3 linked regions of the Drosophila melanogaster genome follow. The protein of the gene in region 1 interacts with the protein of each later gene in a pairwise test. Each region holds a gene or a part of one and is shown in the gene's direction. Other genes may lie near its edges.

Evidence for each region.
Region 2: the proteins of fok (region 1) and CG14079 interact in a two-hybrid assay, tested with the Drosophila melanogaster proteins (one large-scale study listed by BioGRID).
Region 3: the proteins of fok (region 1) and CG4116 interact in a two-hybrid assay, tested with the Drosophila melanogaster proteins (one large-scale study listed by BioGRID).

The regions. Positions count from the first base shown.
Region 1 is NT_033779.5:20,078,733-20,088,528, reverse strand, and holds fok (fledgling of Klp38B), read left to right. Parts: upstream 1-3,458; 5' UTR 3,459-3,794; coding exon 3,795-3,951; intron 3,952-5,513; coding exon 5,514-5,746; 3' UTR 5,747-6,923; downstream 6,924-9,796. Other genes in the region: neb (nebbish), read right to left, coding at 1-882.
Region 2 is NT_037436.4:19,095,592-19,099,564, forward strand, and holds CG14079 (uncharacterized protein), read left to right. Parts: upstream 1-2,407; 5' UTR 2,408-2,571; coding exon 2,572-2,619; intron 2,620-2,677; coding exon 2,678-3,439; 3' UTR 3,440-3,473; downstream 3,474-3,973. Other genes in the region: CNPYb (canopy b), read right to left, coding at 1-551; Naxd (NAD(P)HX dehydratase), read right to left, coding at 1,061-1,636, 1,715-2,041; Gem2 (gemin 2), read right to left, coding at 3,890-3,973.
Region 3 is NC_004354.4:3,066,115-3,069,816, reverse strand, and holds CG4116 (uncharacterized protein), read left to right. Parts: upstream 1-2,254; coding exon 2,255-3,049; 3' UTR 3,050-3,202; downstream 3,203-3,702.

The DNA.
Region 1 (9,796 bases):
CAATTCGGAGCGAAGTTGCTGCTCCTGCTTTTGCAAAATCTCCTGATGGGCCAGCTGGAAATCTACCGGATGATCGGCCTTGCCTCTTTGCGAGCAGAAGGGATTGGAAATGCGAAAGTAGTGGGAGCCACCTATGACGAGACGGTCGCCATGAAACAGCTGGCGACGATCCTTCAGTAGTTCTCCGTTCACGTAGGTCTCGAAGTCCTCGCTGCCGGGGATGACATACAACTTGCCACCACGTTCATGCTCGATGCTGCAGTGCTGCAAGGCCACCAGTGGACCATCCAGTACAATATCAGGCTGCGAACTAGAACTCCCTCCTGGCAGACGACCTCGTCCTATCCGCACTAGTCCTTGGGGCAACAGATAGAACAGGGTGCCACTTAGTATGGGATCCGCTGTTAAATTAACCAGACAGGCCTGCTTCTGCTCAGCAGTTAGTTCCAGAGCCAATCCCCGGCGTTTCAGGACACGAAGTTCCGATTTGCGCTGATCCTCCGCCTCCTTGAGCTTCTCCATCCATGACTTTTGCGCTCGACTCAGCTCCCTTTCCCGTTCTGCCAGCTGCTGACGCAGTGCCTCCACCTCGGTCTCGTCCACGGAGGTTTCAATGATGATCTTACGTGGCACGGGATTGTTACTATTGCCGGACAAGCGCCGCTGGCGCTCGTACTCGTTCCTCAGCGACTTCAGGCGATCCACCTCGGCGCGCAGATCCCGTATGATCTTGTCGTGGGGGGATTCGTTTACCTTCACCCGGTTGACGATGGAACGCGCCTTGCAGGCGTAACGCAAAGTGGCTAGGGTCTCATCCGCATGGATGCTGGCCGGTGAAATGGTGGCCAACATGACCGTCTTCGAGTTCCCGCCGAGGTTTTCCTGGAATGAAGGAACAACGTCAGTTATATTAAAAGCTCTGTGATGCATCTTTGGATTGGGTGAGTAATTGTATTGTTTTGATGTTAATATCTGGGGTAAATCAAGTTATTTATTATTGGCAGGGTCAATATGGCAAATGGCTGTGGTATACAACGTGTAGCTTGGCTTTCTCACATTCATAACAATATTTTTTAACACCTTTTAAAATGAAATAAATCACAAACAAGGGCATGTGAATCAGTAACAGTAGTATAAACCTAAATATAATTTTTATATGCATTTTATTTTATTTTAATCTAGCACGTAAAACCGAAACAACATTTCATTGATGAATAAATCAGGCATTTTGAATGCACTACTTTTAGTAGCTTATAGAGTCGGCTGAATATCTTTTAAGGAACAACATAAACCGATATATATAATCCTAATGGTTCCTGTATGGAATTGTTATTGGAAATGGTCCATTTAATCTCAATGTGATAATAATGATTTAATGGACTGAAGAAAATAAAACAGAAATCCCAATAAACATATTTTCCAATCAATTAAAGAACTGGATGGGCACCCAAGTTGATAAGGAAAGTGGTTTTTCACACCAACCCTATATGCATACATATGTGGCAAAAAGGAATATACCCCACTATGCAAGAGGTACGATGATTATCGATCATCGGTGAACACTATAATGCACTCGAAAGCACTCAGAACAGATGTGTGAAAATTTCAAGGAATGGAAAATTGACAATCTAAACCTTCGAGTGTGTGCTTCGATTGTGGACTCGGTGCGATAAGGAGGGACGAAATGATAAGACAACGCCCAACTGTTTGCGTAAAGCTACCGTGACAAAGGCACCTACTGATGGTCGTTATCAGCAACCGCTGTGCGGGAATCGAAAAGTTGTTGTGCAAACAAAATGCATCCACATGCAAGTACACGGAAGAAATAGGCTCAGAAATAAAACTCACTAATTGGTGCATCGCAGTGCTTTCAAAATGTTGGTTACATATTCGTTTAGTAAGATATTTGTTTACCTAATTACAAATGCATTGGCCATCCGTTGCATTTTTATCTGATAGTTTTTTTTTTTTTGTAGTGTAGTGTATGCATACGTATGTATATATGTATGTATTCAAATAAAGCTTCGTATTAGCTAGTTAGCACACATTCTTGGCAGTGTGCGTAAGTGACACTTGTTTGATTAAGCAGGTCAGCACCGTGGGCCAAACAAGAGCGGGCACCGAAAAGAGGATGGTTGATTACACAAACTGCGCAGCAGCAGCGGCGTAGGCGTGCACAGTGGTCGCAAGTGCAGAAATATGCCTTGAAAAACAGCTACCATAGGTGACCTTAGGGGCCCGTCAGTGTCGTCTGGTCAGAATCTGGGTCCGTGGTCCGTTAACCGCAAATTAATACAATTAATGGCGACACTCTCTGTTAGTCATTCACGTACCAAAGCGTACCACATTAAAAAAAATCTTTTTTCCTAAATATAGCCCTCTACGTCCTCCCACCTTTAGAAATCAGTCACGATCTCCTCAAAAGTAACTGAAATGAGCGTGCACCAAAACATAAACCGCAGGAAGGCGCTAATATAGGCGGTATGCTTTTTGAGCCAAAACAGCAAAACCTTGATCGGAACCGGCTAAAATGACGTAGACTGCCAATTAACACTAGATTTAAACAAATTTTTCAAATGTTCAAAAACCTCTAGGCAAAGTAGTGAAAAAGTGCAGCTGGTGGTTTACACGCCTAGAATGCCACACGCTGGAAATACAGTCCATTTTGACCATGGAAAGTTTATAAAAAAAAAGAACACTCCAATTTGGGCTCTCAAAAGTGTTCAATCCGCTTGGCAACCAAATTTGGTTTCAGAAATAAGGCTAAATCACGGCATGGTCGGCCTGCAGTCTAGACCGTGATTAGCGCAGCTTATAAAAACACAAATGTCCATCCCATCCTCCAGATGATCAGCCGTCGAACATCCGTCCGATCACTCTCATGATTACTTTTTCGTCATCTCCGCGGCATTAGCGATTCGCCGCTAATAAGAAAAACTTCCAAGAGTATTCCTCATGCCCCGGCTAATTAATATTTATTAAAAATTTTCAAACTAACACAGGGTGAATCACTTGGAAAATGCTTGCTTCCACGGCAGAGGTGATTTCGAGAGTAGCGAACCAATGTGCCCCAAGCGAGAGGTGTGTGGCACTCGAAAGGGGAGGGGTCGGGTGGAAGGTGAAACTCTGACAAAAGCACGAGACGCGAAAACACAACAAAACACAATGCCACACATACGTGTTTACAACCAGGCACACAAATATTTTAGTACAAGTGCGGGCAGCATAGTATATACACCTATTCCAAGTACTACAGACATTAAAGAATATTTAAAACAAATTAAAGTCCATTCATTCATATACACGTGCCCTAAACGTTTTCCCGCGACTGTCCACACACATTCACACGTAGGCACATGAGAAGTAAATATAGGGGAGACCCGAAGTGGGCAGCAAAACAAGAGCCGAAGTATCGCCAGCGCACGAGAGCTACAAAAATGCAGTAATTCTAGTGTTCGGCTTTCAGTTTCACGAGAGACCTCCAACAGAATACATCGAATTTCGGCGAGAGATTTGCAGCTCAAGAAGAAGAAAGAAGGAAAACCTCTGCGAGTCACCTCCACGCAAAAGTGCACCAAAAAGCGTTGTTAAAAAAACAAAACAAAGTGATTTTAAAAGCCAGGTTCATTGGACGCCCGAGCCAATCGAGAGACAAAGTGAAACGACCTCGCACAACGCGCGCAAAAAGAGAGAAAGAAAGAAAAACACACACCCACATTACAAACACAATTCACATCCCGTTGATTGGCACTGCAGTTCGCAAAAATAGTAACGAAACACCGCACAGCACAGACATGGATGTTTGGGGATTCTGCGTCAGCGACACCACAATGGCATATGGCGGGTCCATGCGCAGCGGCTACTACCGCGACTACGAGGAGTTCCCCTATGGTACCCTGGAGTCCACCACTTCCTCACACGCGGTCAAGGACTGCTACAGTCGAGTGCAAGGTAATTTTTGGCGAAAAAACAGATAGCGCTCAGAATGCACTGGCAAAAAAGGGGCGAGATTGAAAGCAGACGCGTTTCTCACTTGTTTTTGTGTATTGCGTGTGTTGTTTTGTTGTTTTTGCAACCATTTATAAATAGCCAGCCTGATTTCTTAGCCCCATGTGCATAAGTGTGTGTGTGCGTGTGTGTGTGTGTAGAACACGCCTTAATTTTTGCGCACAAGCACAGGGTGTCCAAAGTTTCGCGGCGCAAGTCACCTTATCAAGTAGGTTCCACACCCCCTCGATTTTGTTTTTATTTACGGCTTGAATCCACGTGCTAAAGATATTCGCGCTTAATTGCACACACAAAGCGGCTAAAAGCCCACAAGGTTCCTTACGAATTTCCGGCATTCCAAAGTTAAAGCGCAATTCAGATGGGCATACAAAAAGAGTATATCGTTACTTTGTCACTCGTGGAAAATCATAAAAGGCAAAGATATACTTTTTGTGGCAATTTCAGAGGTGGTTAAACCCGCTCTTATCGAGGTCACTACTCAAGTCCATTAAGACACACTCTGCACTCGAATACTTTACGATTATTAATTACACAGACAACTAAGCAAGCACTAAGACTTGGCTGTACCTCCAGAATCGGCTCTCAAAAGTTAAGCAGGTGGTCGCACAATGGATTCTTTTATAGGGAAGAACAAACAAAGCAGGGTTTCATTGTGTTTGAGTGCCAAAACTGAAGCGCAATAACGAAACTGAGGTGTGTAAATGTTAAACCTTCGTGCTGTTTTCGTCCATATAGTATACATATACGCGTAGTGCATTATCGGGTTGCAGAGAAATAAAAAAAAAACAAGTGAAAAATTATGCAAGGCAAATATCTAGCTTACTTTAAACTTTAGATTCACATGTCTGTACATACACAACTCAATTCGTATTTGAATGGTAGCATGCATATGTGTGTAAATATCCAGTTTATAAAGCACTTTTTTCCCCCAGTGTGGAACACATTTAGAGATTATGCAAGGTCGCTTATCGGCGGCTATAAATAGACTTTCCTCATGGATCGGCTGGGCTTTAATCAATAATAACCGTTTAGCTTTTAACACGGTCAATTGAGCAATCAAAGCAATGGTTTAATTAACGGAGGCAGGTCACAAAAGCACACAAGCTGTAAGTACAGTTGTGCTCAATGTAGTAGTTGTGTTACAGTCGTCGAAAGACAACAATGTTTTCATTAAAACCAAAGATTAGATAGATTCAACTTTTTAAAATAGGTTTCTAAAATCCAGTGCATGATAATATTAAATATATAGCTGCCTCCGTCACAGGGTCACACGTCGAGTAGCGGGAAAAATTGTGCGAGCGTGGGGAGGGGCGCCATCGGTGGCGACGTGACGTCGTGAACGTAGACGCAGCGACGTCACGTAGTCAAATCAGCTGTTCGACGGCCCAGAAGGGCACGTAGGCTAAAAGGCAGAGTGGAAGCGAATGCGGGAAACAACAGACGAGGGTGAACATTCAGTGCCGACCTTCACTAACCGGTGACCTATCACATTGCTCCCATTGCAGAAAAGTGCAAGCAGATAAAGTCCGAGAAGCAGATGCGCAAGGACTGCCCATTCTGCAAGGAGCACAAGAAGCGGCCGCTCATCAACTACATGCGCAAGCGGGAGCAAAGGAAGCACCATGACAGCATCTGCGAGGACGAGGAGGACATGCACGAGCACGAGCATGAGCTGGAGCACACCCACAATCACAGCCAGTCGACCGTCCTTGCCGCCCCGCAAAGCTGCAAGGTGTGAGTGGGAGCGAGACGAATCTACTGCGGACGGTGCCCGCAGCATTCGCGAAATGCCATATATGTATACAGATGTGTAACCTAACCCAGAAGAAAGGAAACCTGAAAGAGTAAGAACAAAAACAAAAACAAAGAAAACCCGAGGAGAAAAGAGAAAAAGCTGTCGAAGACGAAGATTGCGCGAGAGAGCGAGACAGCAGCCTGCAGCTACAATAATCTAAGGCAACTGTACCCCTATTTTTTTTAAAATGGTTGCCCAGCATTTCCGCGTTGCGAATACACTACCATTTACAAAAGCCAGAACCACTTGATACCAATTTACAACTACCTTTTTCATTATCTAGCCCTTCGTTTTTACACCAACTTCGCAGTTATGTACAACTACAAACGGCACTTTGTTTACCGACAAACAATAGCGCACGACGAAAAAATCAAGTAACGAAAACCTGCCCCGCTTGACCAACGCATTTTTTGACCTTAGGCAAAAAAAAAAAAAAAAAATTATATATGTAACACAAGGGAAGCAAAAACTGAATTTTCTATTTTGCATACGAGACTGAGTAAATTGCAGTAGAAAATTTTTAAGCGAAATTTTTGTTATTTTCGTTGCTTTAGTTTGGACCCAATTGGATCAGTTACAGGTATTACCATATAAGAAAGAAATAATGAAAACTATAACGATCAATCAAGGTTTTGCAACTGTTATTTTCTCGATATATGCGTAGTACATACTTTGGACCCCGATTTTTATTGTATCCTTGTCTATATTAGACATTCCCCTATATTTATTGTAATACCAACTGAGCGTTGCACAGTCCGAGCAAGTGTCAAAATGAAATCAAATCGAAATATGTATGTAAAAGTTGAAATTGTTCAAAAGTTTATGCCTGGTTACATTTTGTTAACTCAACTTGTCGTTACAGAACAGAAATTGTTATTAATTTTTGGTGTTCAGACTCAGCTGTGCAAAAAGACGGACGGAAATATTATAAAAACGATTTAACAATTGCATTAGTCATTTAAGTAATTGATCAAAATGTAATGATTTGTGTAAAATTTGCTTGCAGGTTCCAAGAAAATTTTCAATTTATACAATGTTATATATCATATATATTATATATTAATGGTTAGTTTAAATTATATGTAAACCGAATAAAACGACAAATGATTGAAAAATTTAAGTTAAAATGCGTACTTGTATCTTGAGGGTTACTTGAGGAAATTACGATTAAAAGAAAGGAGATATCATTCATAGTTGCTACGATTTCTAAAAGTTAGACACCTGTTCCAATTACATACGTTGAGGTGGGTCAGTTTGGACTTAAATTTTCCAAATAAAAGTCTTAATTTCTTATGCAAATCTTTACGGAAATCTTTCCGTCTCGCACCAGTTTACTAATTGAAGTTAATCTGTCTTTTGTCTGTCTGAACTCAAAATGTTCCGCCGCTTGAAAACGTTAAATATGATAAGTAAGTACTTGATGGCTAAGGTCAGGTTTTAGGCACTAAACTGGGAACTAAGCGAAAGCACCTCGAGCCCCAATAAACCGACCTGGAACTTGACCATGCACTATCCCACCTTGCAAGCGAATGTCCAGGGATGCCAGCTCCCAAGTGATCCAAATGAAACCCCAGTCAACTAAGCCGAATTGAATTAGAGCAACGAACGTTTGGCACGGGTAGATGAGATCATCCGTGCCTTAATCATGAAAGGCGAATCAAAAAAATTCAACTGATCAAACTGAGAACTGAGCGCATCCCCCCACACGAAAACCATTCATTCCATTTGCATATTTTTTCATGAGTGTGCAAAAGGGTATATGTGCAATGGGGCGACGGGGAAAGCGATGTTCGAGAGAAACAACTCGCGGGGAGGAAGCCATATACATATTCAGTTGTTTGTGCATCGAATTCGACTCATTTTATATTCCAATGCTAACCACTTGGTTGGGGCTAAATATATTATTAAACAGTGTGGCTTAAATTACAATTGTTGTTATGCGGGAAACTGGAACGGAGAGCACACGTTCGAAGCATTTTGTTATGCCAACGTGGGTCAGAGATACAAACTTTTGAATTTATAACTACTATACTATACTATACTATTTATAACTACTACTATTTACATTATTGAATGGCTCAGTTAGTCGAAATCTTGTGAATAATTAATCTGGTTACTACTCGTATGTCAAATTTTTTCAGTTCACATAATTAGCATTCATTTGTGAACTGAAAACGTGGCTTATTTGAAAATTCATAACGGCGACAGACAACTCGCCTGTTGCTAATTACGAAAATAATTAACTGACGTATCCTCAGTGGCACGCTTTTCGTATTAGACACGTATTAGAAACAGCAGATCAATCGAATTTGAAATCGTGTGAACCTACGTCATTTGCATTCAATTCGATGTTTCTGGATTTCATTCAAAATCCCACATTCCCTGGCTATCTAAACGGTGTTTGTGGCTTTCCAAATCCAACTCGGAAAATGCTGATTGTGAACTCAGTGCGGTTTCTAGGGCTTTGCACACGAGCAAGTTAATTTGGAATTTATTTAGAAAGCTGGCTTGGGACTCCGCATTTCCAGTTCCAAAGTTCCCCCAGTCATGTGAAGGTCGCAACGAGTTCTCAAAACTAATAAAAATTGAGAAAAAACTATAGTTTAATGAATAAAAAAGGACTTATTTCTTGGAGAACAGAATATATCCCTTTGCATTTCAAAAAATGCTGAACCGCTTGTTACAAAAACTGAAAAGTTCCAGAGGAGTCAAGTCGCAAGGTGAACTTAATAGCTAGGCCATGGTATTTAAAGTGAAATACTTACATCAAAATATGTCAACTATTCTAATTACCTATCAAAAATTGAATTATTCTTTTACAAAACCTAGCCGTAGTGCAAAACCATTTTCATATAAGTGGACTGTTATTAAGCCAGTTAAATAACAGTATTAACAGTATTCTTTTTTTGTTTCGAATAATGAGCTTTTTGGATAATGAACTTAAATATGACTTTAAATTGACGAGTCTGTGCTAATAAACAAAACGGACTGCAAATGTCAAATCACAACTAATGTTAAAAATTAAAGTTATAAAACACCAACCAATTTTGATTATAAAGCATCTCCCATTACTTACATTGTACCCAAATCCTGGTTAACTTTAGATTTTACTTGGCCTAAACATATTTGCTAATTGTAACATACTCTGCCATCAATTACCTTTATTGGCTTGTATACACTTCGTAAACGTTTAGTTACCATCCTAACTATCTGTATATAAATTATTCATTTTGTGTACAAATTGTTATTGCAGCTCTTAAGGATGGAAAAAAGCTGAGCAAGGGCAATTGCAAATGCGAGCCTTCAGCGTGTAAATGTGGAAAACGTCAACAACGACAGCAACAATTGAAATTGTTGGTGTCGCAACTTAGGAGACGCGATAACGTATCAAGTGTTATAATGTTTTAGTGCCGAAGTACCGCACAAAAATACCAAATAAAGCATTATCTGCAAAGTATTTTTAAATCTATGGGGTGGCAAGTGAAGATGTAGATGGAACTTTTGTGTCGTATGCAAAGATAGGAAAAGTACTTCACGGATAGATAGGAACCATGGAAGCCCAAAAATATCAGAGGCAAAAAACAAGGTCGGCTGATATATAAAAAAAAAACACAACAAAACCCCCCTCCTTTTAAAGGGGTGAAAACAACTAGTAACAATCAACATACAAACCCTAAATCTAAACCATCTAAATCTTTCAATGATTTTAAAGATGGATTGGGCAACCACAATCTGGTGCGTTTCGTCACTACGCTGGCTGCGAGAGTCCCCTACGGACCTACGACGCCATTCCAAGAAATATTTGTCTTCACCTTTTATGGCAAAGGCCGCGTACGGAAATAAATCATGTGAGCCATTTTATGGGCCGTACTACCGTAACGAAAAGCAAAGTGGACACTGGACACTAAATAACACTCAGTGGAACGGGTTTCGGGAAAAAAGACAAGTGTTTGGACTTTCGATCAAGAGCCTCTCACTTGTGGGCGCCATGTA
Region 2 (3,973 bases), on another chromosome or scaffold:
TCGCAGAGATGCTTCTTCAGTGACTTCTCATCCTGGTGCTTAAAGTACCATTCGCTGATGGTTTCCTCGTACTCCTCCAGTAGGTTTTCGCACTGGGTCTTCATTTGGGTGACCTCCACCGGGGGCTTGTCCCACAGCTCGTAGGGTATTCCCAGATCCACCTTGACGCCCTTGTCCACAAGGCCATGGAGCGTCTGGAAGGTCTGGGACATACCTTTGGCGAATCTCGTGCTGTCAGAGCGTTCCTTGTGCAGATTGTACTCCAACACTCGCTCGCACACGTTCTCCAGGGACTCGAGCAGTCGCAGTTCGCTGCGCCGGTATTCAGTGCGCTTCTTGGGCTTCACATCGTCAACGGAGTATCCGATTTCGATGACGTCGTGCGACTTGCCGGTCTCTCCAAGTCGAGCTTCCAATTCGGTGGCCAGGATTTTGCAGGCTTCGCAGCGGTTTGCGTAGCGAACGCCTTGCTCCTCCTCGGGCGAATCAGCTCCGGCTAACTGCAGGACGACCCAGAGTGTTACAAAGCCAGGCAGTCTTTTGAGGAGCATTTTCACTGCTTGATAAATTCCAAAAAAACAATAATAAACCTGACGTGGAAATGCCGCTCGCGAGAAGACCAGTGCTGCAAAACACCAACAACCGAACGGAACCGACGACTTAGCTTTTTCCCGCCAATACCTTTAAAATAATCTATATCAAATCTATTTTCTTTTTTATGATTTATTATCCTACATACATTTAAAAAAAACTTTTATTTTATTTTATTTGTTTATTAAAACAGAAGTCATGCTTAAACGGTTTATTAAAATTGAATCAATATGGTTTTATTATGAATGCCGAAACATTTTATCTGTAACAAGATGCAGCTTTCAAATTAACGAACCAGATGTTCTTACGTTGTTTAAATGCAATTAAAAAATTCCCATAACATTTCTATCCATTCCAATATGTTCTCTGTTAAAGACATTAAAAATCCCACGATAATTGAAAATTCGGTTAATGGTCGCCTTGTTTTAAAAAACAAACAGCTGGAATTAGTTCAAAGTCCAGTAAATGACTATTGAGGATCGCTGTTTTCGAACTCGGTCTGAAATACGCTGGGTATTTGATTGACCATGTCACTGGCCAGTAGGCTGCGGCCAAACTTTTGAAATGCAGCCGCGTTTAACTTTTTCACAAAGTAACTAGAGGCACATGCAGCTACCAGGGCGGGATTGGGTTCACCCGACTGCAGTGACCACGAGAAGAAGGTGGCCAAAGATCCGGAGAGCAGGTCACCTTGTCCACCGCACCTGCGACCGGAACCGCCGCTAGGCATTGAGTGAACTTCGTTGCAGTGAGGGAGATAGATCTTGTCGTTGGCGCCCTTCTCCAGGACAGTTACTCCGGCTCCCAGGAGGGACATTTTCTGGCGCGCCGCCTGGTCATCCTCGCCAAACAGTCTCTGGAACTCCATGACATTTGGCGTGAGTATGACATTCGGCTGTCCACAGATCAGATTCAGATTGTCGTTGAGCAGAAACAGTCCATCGGCGTCTATGACAACTGGTTTCTTGGTGTCCATGCACAGCTTGAGTACGTTGGATGCCGTCTTCAGGATGCCCGGCTCCCGACCCAGTCCAGGTCCAATAACCTTAACGATTCTAAATTTAGCATTTAATTGTATAAATGTAGCATATACGTATGTAGGTGGGGGGGGGGGGCTACTCACAACGACGTGAAGTCGCTCTAACCAGGGCGCTATTCTCTCCACTGCATCCACACAGTCTAGCACTGGATGCACGATAAGATCGGGACTGTAGGACTTGATAATGGCCGACGCATTTGAATGGCAGAACACATGCGCCAGGTCAGCGCCCACTCTTATCGAGGAAATGGCCGCGAAGTACGGCGCTCCGGTGTACTCCAGGGACCCACCGATCACTCCAATGCGTCCGTACTGTCCCTTGTGCTTGTTGTTCACCAGCTTGGGCACCACCGTCTTGAACAGAGCCAGCAGCTTGGGCAGGTGCACTGGAATATCCGAAACTGCAGCCATCTCTACCGGCGGCAATGGTTTTCTTTGTGGACTGTGCCCGCTGTTTACTATTGCTGTGACTAGTGATGCACATTGTGGTCGGGATTTCCTATCGGTTGCTGCTATCACTGTGAGAAATACTTTGTTCCCACGGAAGCCGTATTATCAGTAGTTAAAGCTATAGAAAATGAAAACATGGAAAAATGTGAGTTAGCTAATTATTCTAAAATAGATTTTTTTTAGTATTTTACTATCATATTTTTGTATTATTTCTTAATTAATTCAAAAACTATTCAATTCTTTAAGTACTCTTCACATTGTATAGTTACACTATACATTCTATACACATCACTTTCAACTCTTTTGCTTATCAATCAAAATTCCCTGCGTTATCGACCAGTAATCGACTTTGAAATTCACTTTCAACCGCTGCCCCGGCAACCAGTGGGCTCCAAAACAAAGAACCATGCGCTTTCGCCCCCCAATTCTCGATTCCCGCCCCAAGCAGTTGGCTATTTTCCGGCAGACTTTCACTTAGGATCAGGCAGCAAATGTCCCACAAGAGATTCTACGTAAAGTTAGATCTGCAGCTCCATGCGGTTTGTGGCTATGTCGATTGAAGTGTACCTGTGACATCAAGGCTCCTTCCATTTTCAGCTCACTTGTCCCGGTGTTTGGCTTTGTTCACACGGATATTTGGAGGCCACCATCAAGACCTTGGGCTACTACTTTCGAACTGGACCCATGGAGCCTCGCTTTCCGATGCTGTGCCACGATCAGTTCACGATGGAGGGATACTTCAAGAGCGTGGGCTGCCTGGAGGAGATGCACGAGCTACTGAAAGCTGAACAGCTGGAGATAACCGTCTGGCAGAATGGCCGAAGGTTGGCCTACTTCGTGGGCAGTCTTTCGGATGTGATGCAACCCACTTTTCCGCGCCTGAGCTGTGCCCACAGCTCCAATGTTCAGCTGTTGATGAAGGCGACGCCTGCTTTTCCGGGTATCCTGGCGCCCAAGGTGGAGCTATCTGCGCAGTTGACCACGCAGGATCGGAAAAAGGTGTGCAGCTGCTCCAGTTCCAGGGAGTACTCTGCTCCTCCTGTCAATCGCCACGTTGAGAGCCGTTGCCTGGGCCATTTGGATCAGCCTCGAAAGCAGCAAACCGTGTGTCATGGGAGGCAATCCAATTGTTGTCCAAGTGGCAGTTACGCCGCTTGGAGAGCTGGCTCTCCTGCCCAACAGAAACAGCAGGAACGGCGATTGTCCTCCTGCTCCAGCACAACGCAATTAAGTAGCCTTAGCCAGAGTTCCTCGCTGACGCAGTGCAGCCACTTGTCCAGCTGTAGTTCTCCTTTGGATGAGCATCACAACAGCTGCGATATATGCCAGGCCTACAGGCGCATGTTTCCTTCTTACTGAATAAATTAGCAAAATTATTTGTGTCTTATGTTTTAAGAAAACCTTTGGTGTTAAAAGACTTATGTTGCAACCCGGAAAACAATGGATATTTTCAATAAATGGTCACATTTCAGTACATTTTCCAGAAATAATTGACTTGTGTACATGGGTTAAATGGGTAACTTCTTCATTCAAATTAAGATATTATCATTACTTTTATATTTAAACTTTTATGTTTTACGATCTAATTTTTAGGTTCATTAACAATATGTTGTCTCTTGATTGATATGCATAAATAAATCTGTTTTCTAACCAAAAGAATATAATTCAGCCACAGAAAACTATAAAAATAGTATCTAAACGTAGAGTAATTATATAAACAAAATTACCAGCGTAGCTTTTGGCTTTTTAGTTAACAAAATAGTCGAATTTGCGCTTAAATTAGTGGTTTCTAAACTGGGAATATGATACCTATATGTAATCCTTGAAATCATTCTGTGCGAAAACCTGAACGGTGAGCGTTAGTAGTAGGTTGTAGGGAGCTGCCCGTTGCAC
Region 3 (3,702 bases), on another chromosome or scaffold:
TCCAAGCCACTAAGTACACCTACCTCCACTATCCACCCCCCCCTCCCCCCTCCCCAACGTACTTCATCATTCATTTGCAATTTCCATTAAAATGTCATTGAAATTTCACTTACAAAAATTTCCCTTCAAAAACCAAACCGAAGTGGAGCAAAAATAAAAATTGAGTAGACGAAAGAACGGAACTGAGTTTTGTATTGTGGTAGAGAATGAAATCTGGGTAAAAGCGGGAATTGGAGTTGGTTTGGGGAAAACTTTAGCTGGCAATTCTATTGCCAAACGCATTTTGCACTTCAATTGCACGTGCAAATGAAAATGGAAGGGGTGGGCTATTGGTGTGTTGGTGTGTTGCTGGAAAAGTCTGCGAAAAACTGAAAAATTCAAGCCTGTTAATATGCGTAAGTGTGTGGGGCAGGTGGGTGTTGGCTGTTGGATGTCGGATGTTGTGTGGTGGGTTGTGGGTGGTGGTTTGGCAAGTGGGTGGAATCTCCTGCGAGGAGTCCTGGCGTGAAGTTGTCGCTTTATTTTTCTTCTCGGGCTTCTGGTGCTGTCATTGATATGGCATTTTCCCCAACCACCCAAAAGTACCTCTGAGTACCTCCCAACCTCCATCCCATTTTTAGCCTCACCTTCTTTCGTTGTCGTTTTGTCGTCGCCTGTTGTTAATTGTCATTGCGTCGCTTTAAGCCGCTCAGTGGCAGGAAAATGGGAAATGGAAGCCTCACCTTGCGTGTGGGGTGGGGAAAATCGAGAGGTGGTGCCGGATAAAGTGAATCAAGAGGAAGGCCAAGGAGCAGGAAAGACTATCGGACATACTCTTGCCTTGCCGAATGTCACTGCAAATCGTTGAGCAAATTGACAGCTTTTAAGTTGACAAACAAATTATTAAGTATGATCATATTCAATATATTTATTTTCTATACGTTAGTATATATATGATATTACCAGTTCTATTTGAATGCACATCACTATAATACTATCTACTAATATTAGCTTTGAAACTAGTTTAGCCTGCGCATTATAATTCGTGTGGATAGTCCGGTTTAAAGATGATTTTAGGAGCATATGCTTCCCTTCGGTGTGGATGGATAGTTTCTCCCTTAGCCGTTGTTGTTATTGCCACTGTTGCTGTTTTCACGCGCGGTTAGCGCCTGTAATTGCATTGCCAAGTAAAGGACGAACCGCGAACAGTGAGCGACATTCGTATGTGTCTCTACGTTCGTGTGGCGCTCCATGTGTGCGCTGCACTGGCAGAAAACAATTGGTGGTTCTTAAAAGCGGAATTTGGGACATACTATCATCATATATCGCTACAATTACAAAAATATATGCTTAACATGGCTGCCCCTTTCTTTGTTTTTTCTTAGTTTAAGAGCAATCCTTTGTGTTTTTGGCCAGTGTAGTTTTGGTGCGTGTGTGTGAGCGTTGGCGTAAGTGAAATTTATTTCAACAGCCCCCGCCAGGCATTCAGCCCCAAAACTGTCGGTTGGCCAACTTAGGCGAAAAATTGAGAAGCAAGGCACCACCAGCAAGGCAGCATCGCATCAACGGCAAATGAAATGAGGCTGGCAAAAAGGGGGATTCCGGGGGTTAAATGCGCCCCAATAGGGGGCGCCATCTGCGGCACACTGGCGCCAAAGTGATGGAAACCATTCCGAATGCACAATCTCACAGCGGTTGATCCAAAAAAAAAAAAAAAAAGGAGTGAATGAAAATATGCAATTCTCAGAGAGAGAGAGAAAGCGTTAAGTGGGTGCATAAAGGGGCAACAGCGGTTTATGGGTTCAACTTTGTATCGTGCAGAGTATTTGCTCGGCTATAGAGCAGTATTCCGTTGCTAATAGAACCCTTAAAAGGTACAAAAACCAATATACGATTTGGATTTCAAATTCCCATTTATATTATTACCCACTGTGCCCGAAAAAACCCCCAACTGAAGCTGCAAGCAGACGTGTTTCTGTTGCTGATTTTAAATTTTAATTAAAGTGTGGCTCCTTGGTTTTTGGTTTTGGTTTTTGGCTTTGGTTTTGCTTTTCGGTTTCGGCTGCGACCACTTGAGGTTCACGATCCGCGGCAAAGCAAACAATGGCCTACAAGTAGGGGCACTTCTTGACACGCTCTTGCCACTTGAAAAGTCCAACTATTTGGCCTCGGGGCCAGCAAAAATGGTGCGAGAAGAATGAAGAAAGGCTTTCTAAAACCTATAACCTATATATATTGGCAAGCAAAATTCCGGGCATCATGGCATCCATGACCGATGAAAGTCGATTTCCGTCAACTCATGTTGGGCTATAAAAGTGCCAAAGATCTGCCCAATGGCACACACAGTTCGATGGTCCATCGTCCAGAAATGATCTACGCAATTCTAGTGCTCTGTCTGCTGGGCAGTTGTTGCCCAGCAATGGCCCAGAAGGTCGAAAAGGATCCGCTGGCCAAGGAACAAAATACCCGTTTGGCCGGCATCTATGTGAAGGATGGCAACGAAAATGGCCAGCTGAGATTCCTGGCATCGGGCTTGAACAGTGGCAGCAGCAGCACCAGCTCTTCAAACACCGGTATCAACTCGGCCCTGAATCAGTACATAACCAATAAGCAGGATATGCTGGAGCAACTGCGTCCCACTTCGGGCACCACATCAACGGGAACGGGAGCTGTTACGGGCACATCGACGGGAACAACAGGAACGACTTCGGGAACCGGAACTGGCCTGGTCACCACGACTTCCAATGGAGCTATCTATGTGAACCTGGGCAGTTCGGGATCCTCATCATCATCGTCTTCCTCCTCGTCGGCCACCAATGCGGCCATTAATCAGGTCATCTATGGATCCTCGCCAGTTGCCGGTCTCTTGCCGCAGATCGTTGGCCAGGCGGTGTCCAGTCGAGTGCGTCCCGGTGGCCAGAACAATAGGAGGCGCGTTCCCGCCCGTAGGCGCCGGGTCAACAAGAGGCGTGGCAGCATTAACAACAACAATCAGCGACGTCGCCGGCGTGGCAACAAGCGGGGCAAGAATAAGGCCCAGGTGATGGTGGTGCGACCAAATCGCGGTTGAGAAGAGGATCCACCGCCTTTCTTAGTTAAGCGAAAAATTACTTTTTTTTTGCCCCCCAGCCAAGGAATTTTTTTTTTTTTAATGATTACTATTAGTATGCGAGAAGGCAACCTTATTTATTTATTTAAATGATTGAAAGCAATTACACTCTGCAACCAAGGTGGTTTTATTCGAGGTCATTATGGCAAAGGCGTGAAATGGATAATTAAATTTTAGCTTTGGTATAACATGCATATTTCATGGACATCATTGCTCTCACCTTGTGTATGTTTTCCAATCGACCAAATTTGCGATTGCAAAGCCTCAAATTTGTGTAGGCCAGTGGATTTGGCGTAGTTGCACTAATTTATGGGCCAACTGGTGTTCATGTTCAAAGGGCCGCCAGTCGGTGTGTCTGCGAGGTGCGCTGGCCCGTTTAGAACCCCCTTGGTGAGCCCCTGGTCAAGTGCAAGACAAACGGTCTCCGGTCGGCTCTGCATGCGGCGGTCAATGTCTTGATAAATGTCTGCAGGATGGCGCCCGGGGAGTGGCGCCCGTTGCTCCTCGTCCTGGTCAGCAGGACGACCCCTCGTGCGGCGCCGCTGTTCCATTTCGCGAACCTCTAAATCACCGTCACGTGTCCGGGCTGTGTATTATGTGCTCATGACTGTAAT